Linked DNA regions of Coturnix japonica. The protein of the gene in region 2 purifies or fractionates together with the protein of the main gene of each other region. This does not show direct contact. Links are inferred from orthologs where the notes say so. Each region holds a gene or a part of one and is shown on either strand. Other genes may lie near its edges. The genes, in order: TOM1, CUEDC1 and SMURF2.

Region 1 (3,650 bases), on a different chromosome or scaffold from region 2:
AGTCACTCTGACATGCACAAATGTGGGCATTCCCCCCTGAGAAGGGATGTTAGAAATCTGCCAAACATGTTAACTCTGGAGCTGGGGATTTGCCAGTGAATCCTAGGGGGTCTGCTCTATCTCACAGTGGAGACGTCAAGAACAGCATGTAAAAAGGAAGGTGATACATGGAATGAAAAATGTAGATTTCACTCCTGCTGTCCCACCACACAGGGAGGCTGATAGATAGCAAGCTCAGTTTGAAACTTCACAGTTGTACGGAAACAAAGTCAAACATCTTTTCTTACAGATCTGTCACCCCTAATTTTCCAGCCCTGCTCTCCCCATGGTACAAATATGCCTGTCTTTGCCAACAGTTCTCCGTCCCAAGCTGTTACCACTTTGTGTTTCATTTCTGGGCTGTTGCTAACACAGCTGTCTCTCCAGTTCTCCTGCTGATGCCCATCCATTGCAGCTTTACTACCCCATGGGCCCCCAGATGCTTCCTCATTACCTTGGTGCCTCCATCCCACTCTTGTCTTCCAGCACTGCTGCTCTTCCAGCCCAGCCTCTCTTCCCCTGCTCTACTGGAGTATGTTAGTCCTTTTGTGTCCTCTCACAAGACCACAGTGACCCTGCTATGCTGCCATTTATGCAAGATTCACTGCATCTCCCAAACTTCTTTTTAGCCTCATTTCCTCCAGGGAAAGGTTTAACAGTTTCTTTCTAAACTTGACAAGGATTGCTTCTTCTCCGTCTCTCTTTCTTATTTCTACCCTTTGCCAAGCTTTTTGTGATCTTGTCTGCATTGTCGCTGCCATGGGATTTTGCTTTACCCCAAACAGTACATTTCTGGTGTTGCTATTACTCTCTGTTTTGTCTGTACACCTTGGATTGTTGCAAACATCAGCACAGAAGCCTCCAGTTTCAGCACCAACACTCAGCAGCAGGACCTAGCACCTCCTACAGAACTACAGGCAAAAACTGCTTTATCAGTCATTGCTTCAAGATGCACTGAAAATGTGATGGGGAAGATCACCTATTGAGTGCATGACTCTGGATGTCAGTGGCTGTTTTGCTTTGCTTCTTCCTAGGTGAGTCTCACCCTTCTGATGATCTTTCTCCATTTGCTTTTTCCTGTAGGCCCAAAGATGCCTTCCGAGCCATCAAGAAGAGAATTGTAGGGAATAAGAATTTCCACGAAGTTATGCTGGCTTTGACGGTGAGTGGTCACAATTCTTTCTTAGCTCTGTGATTCTTGCTGTGAAGCTGAGTCCCCAGGTGCAAAAACATGGGCACCAAAAGACAACAAGCCTAATTCCTGCAGGCAGAGAAGACTGTAGCTAATGCTTCTTTGCCTTCAAAGGTCTTGGAGACATGTGTCAAAAACTGTGGCCATCGCTTCCATATCCTTGTAGCCAGCCAGGACTTTGTAGAAAGCGTCCTGGTGAGAACAATCCTGCCGAAGAATAACCCACCTGCCATAGTACACGACAAGGTGCTGACCCTCATCCAGGTGAGCCAAAGAGTGAGCATCTGCACCAGAGGAGGGACCATTTGTCCTGTGGTATTTGTATATCAGTGTAGTATAAATTATGTAAATGATGATGTGAATGGTTATCTCCTTCTCCCTAGTCCTGGGCGGATGCTTTCCGCAGCTCACCGGACTTAACTGGTGTTGTTGCTGTCTATGAAGACCTTAGACGGAAAGGCCTTGAGTTTCCCATGACTGATCTGGACATGCTGTCACCCATCCACACACCACGAAGGGTAATAAGGCATTTCTGAGGAGGTGGGAGGCATACTGCTGTGAGGATGCTCTAGTAGCTCTGGGTTGCTGTTAGAGAAAGTGGAAAGTGAGAAGCTGCAGGAGGGTCTCTTTGCAAGGCCGTGGTGGACAAAGTGGCTTAAAGCTTTAGGGTAAGAGCTTTAAGGGAGGTGAAGCAGAGAAGTTGGAAGACTTATTAAAAGCAGATGGGGACTTGACATCAACCTTTCTTTCATAATTGTACTACCTTGTCAGCTGTGAGTGTCTTACATCTCTGCTGTTGTTCCTATCTCCGTCCATAGTCTGTGTATAGCTCCAAATCCCAGTCTGGACAGAACTCACCTGCAGTCAACTCCCCTCAGCAGATGGAGTCCATCCTCCACCCTGTCACCTTGCCTTCTGGGAGAGACACATCCAGCAATGCACCCATCACACCCACACAAGAGCAGGTGAGTTGGACACATACCCTCTGCTGCTGCTGGCTGTCCCTCCGCTTGGGGTCTGTTTCACAAATGCTGTTCTGAGACTGCGGTCCTGCTCCTTCCCCAGCCTATATCCTTAAGGAGCTGTTCCAAAGCATCATTCTTGTCATGGTTTAATAATTTTGTAATTTTGTTCAAACCGTGACAATTCTTCAGGGATTTTCTAGAGCTCCATCGTGGTCACAGTAATCAACAGGGATACCACAAACACAGAGTGGTTACGCTTCCCTAAGAAAGGGCTGCTTGCAGCTACTAGGAGGATCTCCAGGCTGTAGGGAAGCAAGGAGCTGAGATCTACAGGCTTTGGGCAAGATTTTTGTAGTGTTGTGGAGCAGAATTTTGCTTTGTAGATGCCTCTGTACCATCTTTGTTTATCTTGCCTAACAATTGACTCCATATGAGTCAGTCCTAACTGGCTATGCAGCTTACAGAGACCAGGGCTTTCTCAGTTGTTTCCTCATCCTCTTTTCTCCTTTCTCACCCTGACTTAAGACACCAACTTCAGCATTAATTCTCCAGCTGCTAGTAGATAGCATCCCCTTGCAGAACAAAGGCTGGGAACTCCTCTCAAGGAACTCATTACTAGTCTCTGAAACAAGAGAGAAAACCTTCAACTGCACTCTTAGCCCAGACTCACCTTCTGAATGGGAATTCATTTTTTTCCCCTCTTCTGCTGCCTTTGAAATGAAATCATTTGAGTGGCTGCCACAGAGAAGCTGCTAGCTGGGGAGAGATTGAATCCTAACAGCAGCCTTTGCTGGTTATTAAAAATCAAGGTTAGATATAGTGGCAAAGGTCCCCAGTGAGATCCTGGCATCTTTTACCAGCGAATGAATTTGATGGTAAGTAATGAGGCTTCCTTCTGCTGAGAGCTCCTGGGAACCAAACTGAGCGGTGACAAATGAGTTCTCCAGTGGCTTTTCCCTTCAGCTTTGTGAATGCATCCACCCTATGTGCTGTCCTTCACAGCTACCTCAGCTATCCCCCATCCTTCACAGGGTAAGCAGTTACTTTCCCTCCCTTCTGCAGATCAAGAAGCTGCGCAGTGAGCTGGAAGTGGTGAATGGGAATGTGAAGGTCATGTCAGAGATGCTGACAGAGCTGGTGCCATCCCAGGCTGAGACTTCTGACTTGGAACTGCTGCAAGTAAGGAATACAAGGCAGCTACTGGTGGGATAGAGGGCTGGCACATGGAGCTCAATTTAGCAATGAGTTGATGAACTGAGATGTACATGCCAGGCATGGCGAACAATTGCACTGGAACAGTTCAGTGTGGGACTTATCAGGGACAGATGGGATAAGGGAGACATGGGGGTTGAGGAGTTTCAGTGACTAAGGGAATTTGCCCTGTTGAGGTTGGAATCATCTCACACGAGGACCTGAAATTCCTGAGGGCCTTTATTCCTGAATAATATGTTAAG
Region 2 (3,456 bases):
AGCCCTGGAGTTCAGCTCTTCTCTGGCAGCTGTGAATGTGGGCTTGTAAGATAGGCACAGTGAGATTTCCCTGAATACACTTGGAGAGCTGAGCAGGTGGCTGCTGACACGGGTTGCTGTGTAATACCATTTGGTGGTGTTTGAGTTCCCTCTGGCTGAAGGCTCTGGCTGTGCTCACTGCAGGACGGATGTGCCGGGGCCTGGACGCTACAGGAACTGGAACCCACCGCTGCTGGGCAACCTCCCTGAGGACTTCTTGCGCATCCTGCCCCAGCAAGCTGCCCGGGCACAGGTGAGCACCAACTCCGAGCCCCTGTGGCATGACCAAGAGCCGTGAGTTGCTTCTGATCAGTTTGAAAATCAGCTCTGTTGCTCTGCTGGGAAATGCTAGAACCAGCCAGTGCTCCTGGGCAGAGCAGTGAGGCCTGATGCTCAGATACTGTGTATGTGAGGTACAAAATCTGCTACAAACCAGGGAGCGTCCTCATGGGAAATCGCGGTACTCATATTCTCCTTGGCAATTCTGAGGCTGGCACCACAGCACCCTGTGGGGACCGAACACAGCCTCAGTGGGCACCAGCTTGGCTTTGTCTGCTCCTCATCCCCTGGGCATCCCACAGCCACTTTGCACCTCTGCAGCAGAGCTGGTGCCCTCCCGGGATGTCAGGGGCCTGGGGACGGCTGCAGATGCATCAGCTTTTCCCTACCCTTTTTGGTGCTGAAGGCAGCCTCTTATATTGCCATATATAATTGCCTGAAAGTTGAGCTTCTCAGCCTATAATACCTTTCTGGGAATAGGAACGTATCATTTCACTGGGACTCAGGGGAGAGAGGAGCAGCTGCCCTTCTCTTCCCTGGTAATTGTGTGCCTTTGCTTTTTATGGCACTTTGAGAGCAGCAGTAGATATTGTAGATAGATACTGTAGGCAAGGGAGAGATCGATCCTGTGCTGTGTGGCTCTGCTCTTCCATATGTATGGATGCAGTGGTAGTCGGGGAGGGTGAGAGAGAGAGTGCGAGCACTGGGGCACTGCCAGCAGGAAATTGCAGTCTCCTCCTTTTAGTTGGGCAAAATTAAAGCAGTGATGCTGGCTGCAGGACCTTTTTCCTTCACTTCCACGTCTTGCTTCAACCCTATGTATTTAAATTAAAAATGTGATCTGAAAAAGAGCTCTTCCAGATGGTTCCCACATCAGGGGCTCTGCTCCCATGCAGCAATGTCCCTCTGGCTCTGCCTGGTGTTGGTGTCAGATGTGGGCTCCAGCAGCTTTGTGCTGTGGCCGTGGACCAACCTCTGTCCATGTTTCTTCCTGCACAGGGCTCCCCTGGATGCCGGCAGCCTGTGCAACGGGGCCAGGGCTCCCTGGAGCAGGAGAGGAGGTGGAAGCAGTACCTGCAGGATGAGCGGATTGCACTCTTCCTGCAGAATGAAGAGTTCATGAAGGAGCTGCAAAGGAACCGGGATTTCCTCCTTGCCCTGGAGAGAGGTGAGAAGCACCTTTAGGGACCTCTGCTTTTCAGGCGCATGCCCCATTCTGGGAGGCTGCTCCTGCTGCGGTGTGTCAACCTCATCCCCATCCGCTGCAGCTGGAAAACCACTGTGTTTTGGTGGCGCTCACTTCCCCTGCTGTGGGCTCCCACATAGTGCCTGCGGTCACTGCGCTGCAGCAGTGATGGTGGTGAGGAAGCTGCCTGCTGGCTCCCACTGCGCCCAGCTGTGCTGTGGAAATGTTTGACATCCCTGGGGTGTGGCAGAGCTTGTTCCTTTGCTGCTACTGAGAGCAGTGGGCATGTATGGACAAGGAGCATGAAGCTGTGCGTGCCAGCTCGAGAGTCTGATCTGGGCTTTTTGTTTTTCAGATCGACTGAAATACGAGTCAAAAAAATCCAAGTCAGCCAGTGCTGCTGTCAACAATGATTTCTGTTTCTCCTCCATAATACCAGGTAATTTCAAGATGCACAGCAGGATGCTCCAAAGCTCCACCCAGTGTGCCATGCTGTGCTGTGCCATGCCATGTGATGTGACTGTGTAGGGAGGAACCCAGCTGTTTCCTCCCTGCTGCACAGAGCTCTTAAAAGCACAGGGCAGTGGGGCAGACAGGTGATGGAGCTGGGTGCCTGCGCCCTCCCCACCCAGCCACTCCCATGTCCTGCCTCTGTTCCTCCCCTGGGCCCAGTTCCCAGAGGTGACAAAACCTGCTGTCTTGATGGGAACAGAGGATTGTGCCTGGGAGACGTAATGACTGTTCCCAAGTAATCCTGATTAACCTCAGAAGCGAGGCAGCTGCCTGGGGACAGAATTAGCACTTGTAGCTGTCTGTGTCCCCGAGTGGGGCTGGGGTGGGTGAGATGCAGCCACTCAGCTGTAAGTTGGGGTCACTCCCTGATGGATTTCTGCACCCCAGATCTTGGAGGGGTTTTGTCACCCAGAACCAGGTGTGGAGTGCTGTGCTCTTTTCCTGCTCACTGTTACTTAGCTCTGCCAGTGACCATACATGCTGATGGTGCCCAAATGTTTGCCTTTCAGGTGATGTAGCCACTCCTGGAACCAGTGAAGCTGGCAGTGCCGTGTCTGACGATGCCTTATTCAGAGACAAACTGAAACACATGGGAAAATGTGAGTTGCCTTCTAGACTCCAGTCTGGCAACAGGAAGGCCATGATGGGCTAGAGGAGTGCGTGGATTATACCACTGTGGTGTGTGTTGGTGATGCAGATGGTGATGGGAATCCCAGCAGAGGAAGCAGAGGAGTTTGCTATAGCCCTCCCTTTCCTCTTAAGCCTGTCACAGTTTGCTTCTCCCACTGCAAAACAAACACAAGTTCCTTGGGCTGTGTGACTCAGACTGCAGCTGGCCAAGACCCGCTGGGGTGGCCTGGGGTAGTCATGGGTAGGGAATACCACAGAAATCCCACTGAAAGGGTACAAACACCAGCACCTCTGGCCTGGGGCCACTTGCGTCTCTGCTGGTGGCAGGACCTGGCTTTCAGTGCCCAGCACCACAGTGGCTGCTTCCAGCACTGCTGGCTCTTGCCCATAGCTGTCTCCACCCCACACGCCTGGCAGCTCTTTGGGGAGTTTGGGGTGAGACCCTGACTGGGCTGCTTCCTTCTAGCAACGCGCAAGAAACTGTTTGAACTCGCCAGAGCCTTCTCTGAGAAGACAAAGATGAGGAAGTCAAAAAGAAAACACTTGTTGAAGCACCAGGTGTATCCTAAAAGGGTCTTGTTGCCATTTACTCCGGTAGCTGGGACTGCTGGGGGAATTCAGGTGGTCCTGGGGACTCTGTGAGTCTGCAGTTTGGAGAGGAGCGTCCCCAGGTGCCCCCATAGCTGTGGGCTATGAGGAGCAGTTTGTGGTGCTACGACCAGGTCCTGGTTTTCCTTAGCAGAACATTCAGGCTGGGGACAGCTGCGTCCACAGCAAATCTTCTTGATGATGTCGAAGGACACTCGTGC
Region 3 (3,650 bases), on a different chromosome or scaffold from region 2:
TGTATTGCATCCTAAGGCATCATGACAGAATTGGGTTGCTGTGCATTATTTTCTTCTTATAGCCCAGATGTAAAATGATAATATTATTAAGAATAAGCTTTCAGCTGTTGCTGAGCTGATCCAAATGTGTGTCACTGCAGGGGCTTCTAGATGGTAGGTTTGTAAGACATAGGATATAGATGATCCCTGTAGACTGGAGTAAATTTCACTTGAATGTGGTTTGTGCAAATTAACTTTAAATAAAAGGTTTGAAAATAACCGAATGGCTGTCAGAACCACAGGGCAAACTGGGAACACTCCCACTTCTTTTTTTAACTGCCAAAAATGAATGCTGTGGTGGTGAAAGCCCGGTGGAAATGAAGTTTGGTTGGTCAGGGGAGCTTTCTCAGTAGACTTTGTTTCAAAACAGGCAATGGACTGAAATCTTAAGAGGTATTGAAGTTGTGTGAGGTTCTGTCTCATATGTTTGGTTTTGTTGTTGGAAAAAAATAAATTGACGTTGCATTGGAAAAAAATATATATCTAAATTGTGACCTTTCCTATTTATCCAGTCAGTTTGGGGCATTATCACATGTCCTGCACAGAGGCTTTTCAAGTTTTAGGGGAAATACAGCTTTTGTCCTCTTGTTTGGAAGTGCCACACTAAAAAGCTAAGCCATGCAAAAAGGCCTACTTGAGAAGTGACATGAGAAAGGACATCTCTGCTCAAAACTGACTTTGTCCAGTAAGAAGTCAGATTTACAAAATCTCTTAGAATTGCTAGTAAAAATACTTGCTTATCTGTGCCAGTTAGTTACATGTGAGCTCCCCACATTCCTGTGGTCCAGACTAGGCCAGGTACAAGGGACAAGGTCCTTGCCAAGCTGCCAGTACAAACATCTTTTTGTAAGCTTACTCTTTTTCATGCAAGCCATTTAAAACAGACTATGGTATTGAGTGTAGATTAGAGGCATAGTGTTTGGCTGATCCTTGAATTTTAAATTGGAGGAAGGCAAAACACGCAAAGGAAATATGGAAATGGTATCTGAGAAATTCAGTGTCAGCAGCTTAGTAGTAAAACTGTATGGTTAATACCTTATTATATCGTGCTGTAACCTTTTACATACTTTGTAGAGTACTACTAATAGAAATAACCAACTCTAAAAACAACTGATAGTTGCCAAGAAAGACAGAAGCATATGTCTTTAGTCAGGATAAAATCTCTCTGAATTTACTTTTTTCTAGGCCTGAATGTTGTTAGTGTAATCACAGTAATCATAGTAAATCGAAAGTACGTCAGTTACTAAGACTTAACCTTTAAGAAACACATGAAGAAAACAGGAGACGTATGACTTGAATATCTGCAAACAGCTGTGTTTGTTTCTAGCCGCCAGAATCAACTTAAAGATCAGCAGCACCAGCAGCAGCAGCAGGTAGTGTCCCTGTGTCAGCTTCCAGATGAGGCAGAATGTCTGACTGTGCCAAGGTACAAACGAGACCTGGTGCAGAAACTCAAGATCCTGAGGCAAGAGCTGTCACAGCAGCAACCTCAAGCTGGCCACTGTCGTATTGAGGTCTCCAGGGAAGAGATTTTTGAGGTAATTTGAGATCTTGACCCATTTGTTAACACTGAGGGAAGGGGAGGAGGGTTATCCATAACTGTCTGAAGAAGTCATTCAGTTAGACAAAATGCTGAAGCCTGTTTGTCTCAAAAACTTTATCACCCATCCCACCCATCCCTGTTGTGTTTTTACTCCACCCACAAACATGATAGCCCCACTGCGTTGTCACCATTTTTCCAGCCAAGAAATATTTGTGTTGGTATTCCCAATGGAGACAGTCAAATCACTTAATAATAAACTGAAAAAGAAGGGGGAGAAATGCTGCTGTAAAGGAGTGGAAATTATTATATTCTTTTTCTGAAGCGTCCCAGGCATGCCTGCCTCTTCTCTTCTGCAAAAACAAAGATTGGGGGCATCATAAATAAAACCTTTGATTTAATTCCATTTATAAAATGAGCATTTGGTTTCTTTCTTTAGCATTCTTTTTATATTGTATTGATGAAGTCTTACTGATAGAGCAATAATTCCATAGATTTACTGGGATGGCGGTGGTGCTGATGATGCTTAAGCATCTTAAGATGCTTTGTGAAGGTTTGCATATCTTCTGGTCAGTAGAAGTACCACTGTTGGCTTTTCACACTATTTTTTACTTGACAAGCATTATCACATTTATAGAAAGCTATGTAACAGTTTGTGATTGGAGAAACAGCAGTCTCTAGGAAAACAACATCCCCTTTGGGCTTAGATTCTGAGACTCCCTTTGTTTCTAATAAGCAGTAGTAGCTTCTTGTCTCTAAATAGCAGTTAATAAAAGAATGTGTTGTGTATTTACAGGAATCTTACAGGCAAGTCATGAAGATGAGGCCAAAAGATCTATGGAAACGATTAATGATAAAGTTCCGTGGGGAGGAAGGTCTTGATTATGGAGGTGTTGCCAGGTAAACAGTGTGTCCTCCATCCCTTTCCTCAGCCCCACCAGCTGCACCACTTTGATTCCTAAACCAAACTGACAACGACTCTTTTTCTTTTAAAATTCTGTGGTTCTATTTGTTCTAGTAACGCTGTATGTCAGAAGAGTGTATATATCTCAGATAGTCTTTTCAAGGAAAAAAAGCAAGGAGAATTTATTGTAAATAAATCAAAATGCCTGTTACCAAAGGTGTCTCTGATGCAACCTGTATCAATTGGAAAAGCTTGGGTATTTGGGAGTGTATGTACACCACTGAACAGTCAACTTGGTGACAGAATCATAATCAGTGACTCTTGGAAAGCAACTTGAAGGAAAATCCTGGCAGCTGACAGGTGCTGTGCATTACTGAACCAGTGAAAATAATTCTGCTTTCTACACGTGCATAGCTGTCCTTTGAAAAGATTGAAAAGATTCTCAATATGCAAATTAATTTATCTAAGGTTATGCAGTAAATTCTTTCTTCTTTCTTGTTCTTCAGGGAGTGGCTCTACCTGTTGTCACATGAAATGCTGAATCCATACTATGGGCTCTTCCAGTATTCCCGAGATGATATCTACACACTGCAAATCAACCCAGATTCTGCAGTTAACCCGGTATGACTGACAATAGGAGTTAAGTAAAATGATGCTTTTGTGACCCAGCAGTTAGGTACATGTGGAGAATAATGTTCTAGATTTAAGAATCTAGTTCTCACGTTAATATTGCTAGAAACTAAATGAATGAAATAACATAATTTGTTGTTAGTATGGATCAAAGAAACAAAGAAACATCTCAAATGATCTTAATTTTCTGTAAGATATTGTTTTATGTTTCCTTTGGGAGAAATGGAGTTTGTTTTGATTCTTAACAGTAAGACTCTGGACTTGAAGCAACGTACCCAGTGTGCTGTATATAAAAACAAACTAAAAAAAGATATCAAACAGCTCTGGTTATGTGTTGGGTGGTGGTGGTTTCCTTGTTGTTGTTAAGGTGTATTGAAATTTAATTAAACGTTCAGCGAATACAATCTAGGAGTTGTATTTAGGTGAATTGCTGAGTCTTTTCTTTCAATTCCAGGAACACTTATCATATTTCCATTTTGTTGGACGGATAATGGGAATGGCTGTGTTTCATGGACACTATATTGATGGTGGCTTCAC

What was found.
Region 1: the proteins of CUEDC1 (region 2) and TOM1 purify together in Homo sapiens (co-immunoprecipitation; 3 studies listed by BioGRID and IntAct, with this or other methods). This does not show direct contact. The link is inferred for Coturnix japonica from reciprocal best matches to the Homo sapiens genes CUEDC1 and TOM1.
Region 3: the proteins of CUEDC1 (region 2) and SMURF2 purify together in Homo sapiens (co-immunoprecipitation; 3 studies listed by BioGRID and IntAct, with this or other methods). This does not show direct contact. The link is inferred for Coturnix japonica from reciprocal best matches to the Homo sapiens genes CUEDC1 and SMURF2.

The regions. Positions count from the first base shown.
Region 1 is NC_029516.1:47,628,335-47,631,984, reverse strand, and holds part of TOM1 (target of Myb protein 1), read left to right. Parts: intron 1-1,122; coding exon 1,123-1,201; intron 1,202-1,345; coding exon 1,346-1,495; intron 1,496-1,614; coding exon 1,615-1,749; intron 1,750-2,049; coding exon 2,050-2,196; intron 2,197-3,258; coding exon 3,259-3,375; intron 3,376-3,650.
Region 2 is NC_029534.1:7,487,332-7,490,787, forward strand, and holds part of CUEDC1 (CUE domain-containing protein 1), read left to right. Parts: intron 1-183; coding exon 184-292; intron 293-1,317; coding exon 1,318-1,486; intron 1,487-1,859; coding exon 1,860-1,943; intron 1,944-2,526; coding exon 2,527-2,616; intron 2,617-3,113; coding exon 3,114-3,207; intron 3,208-3,398; coding exon 3,399-3,456.
Region 3 is NC_029533.1:7,225,764-7,229,413, forward strand, and holds part of SMURF2 (E3 ubiquitin-protein ligase SMURF2), read left to right. Parts: intron 1-1,366; coding exon 1,367-1,577; intron 1,578-2,375; coding exon 2,376-2,479; intron 2,480-2,989; coding exon 2,990-3,104; intron 3,105-3,567; coding exon 3,568-3,650. UniProt on the Homo sapiens protein: E3 ubiquitin-protein ligase which accepts ubiquitin from an E2 ubiquitin-conjugating enzyme in the form of a thioester and then directly transfers the ubiquitin to targeted substrates.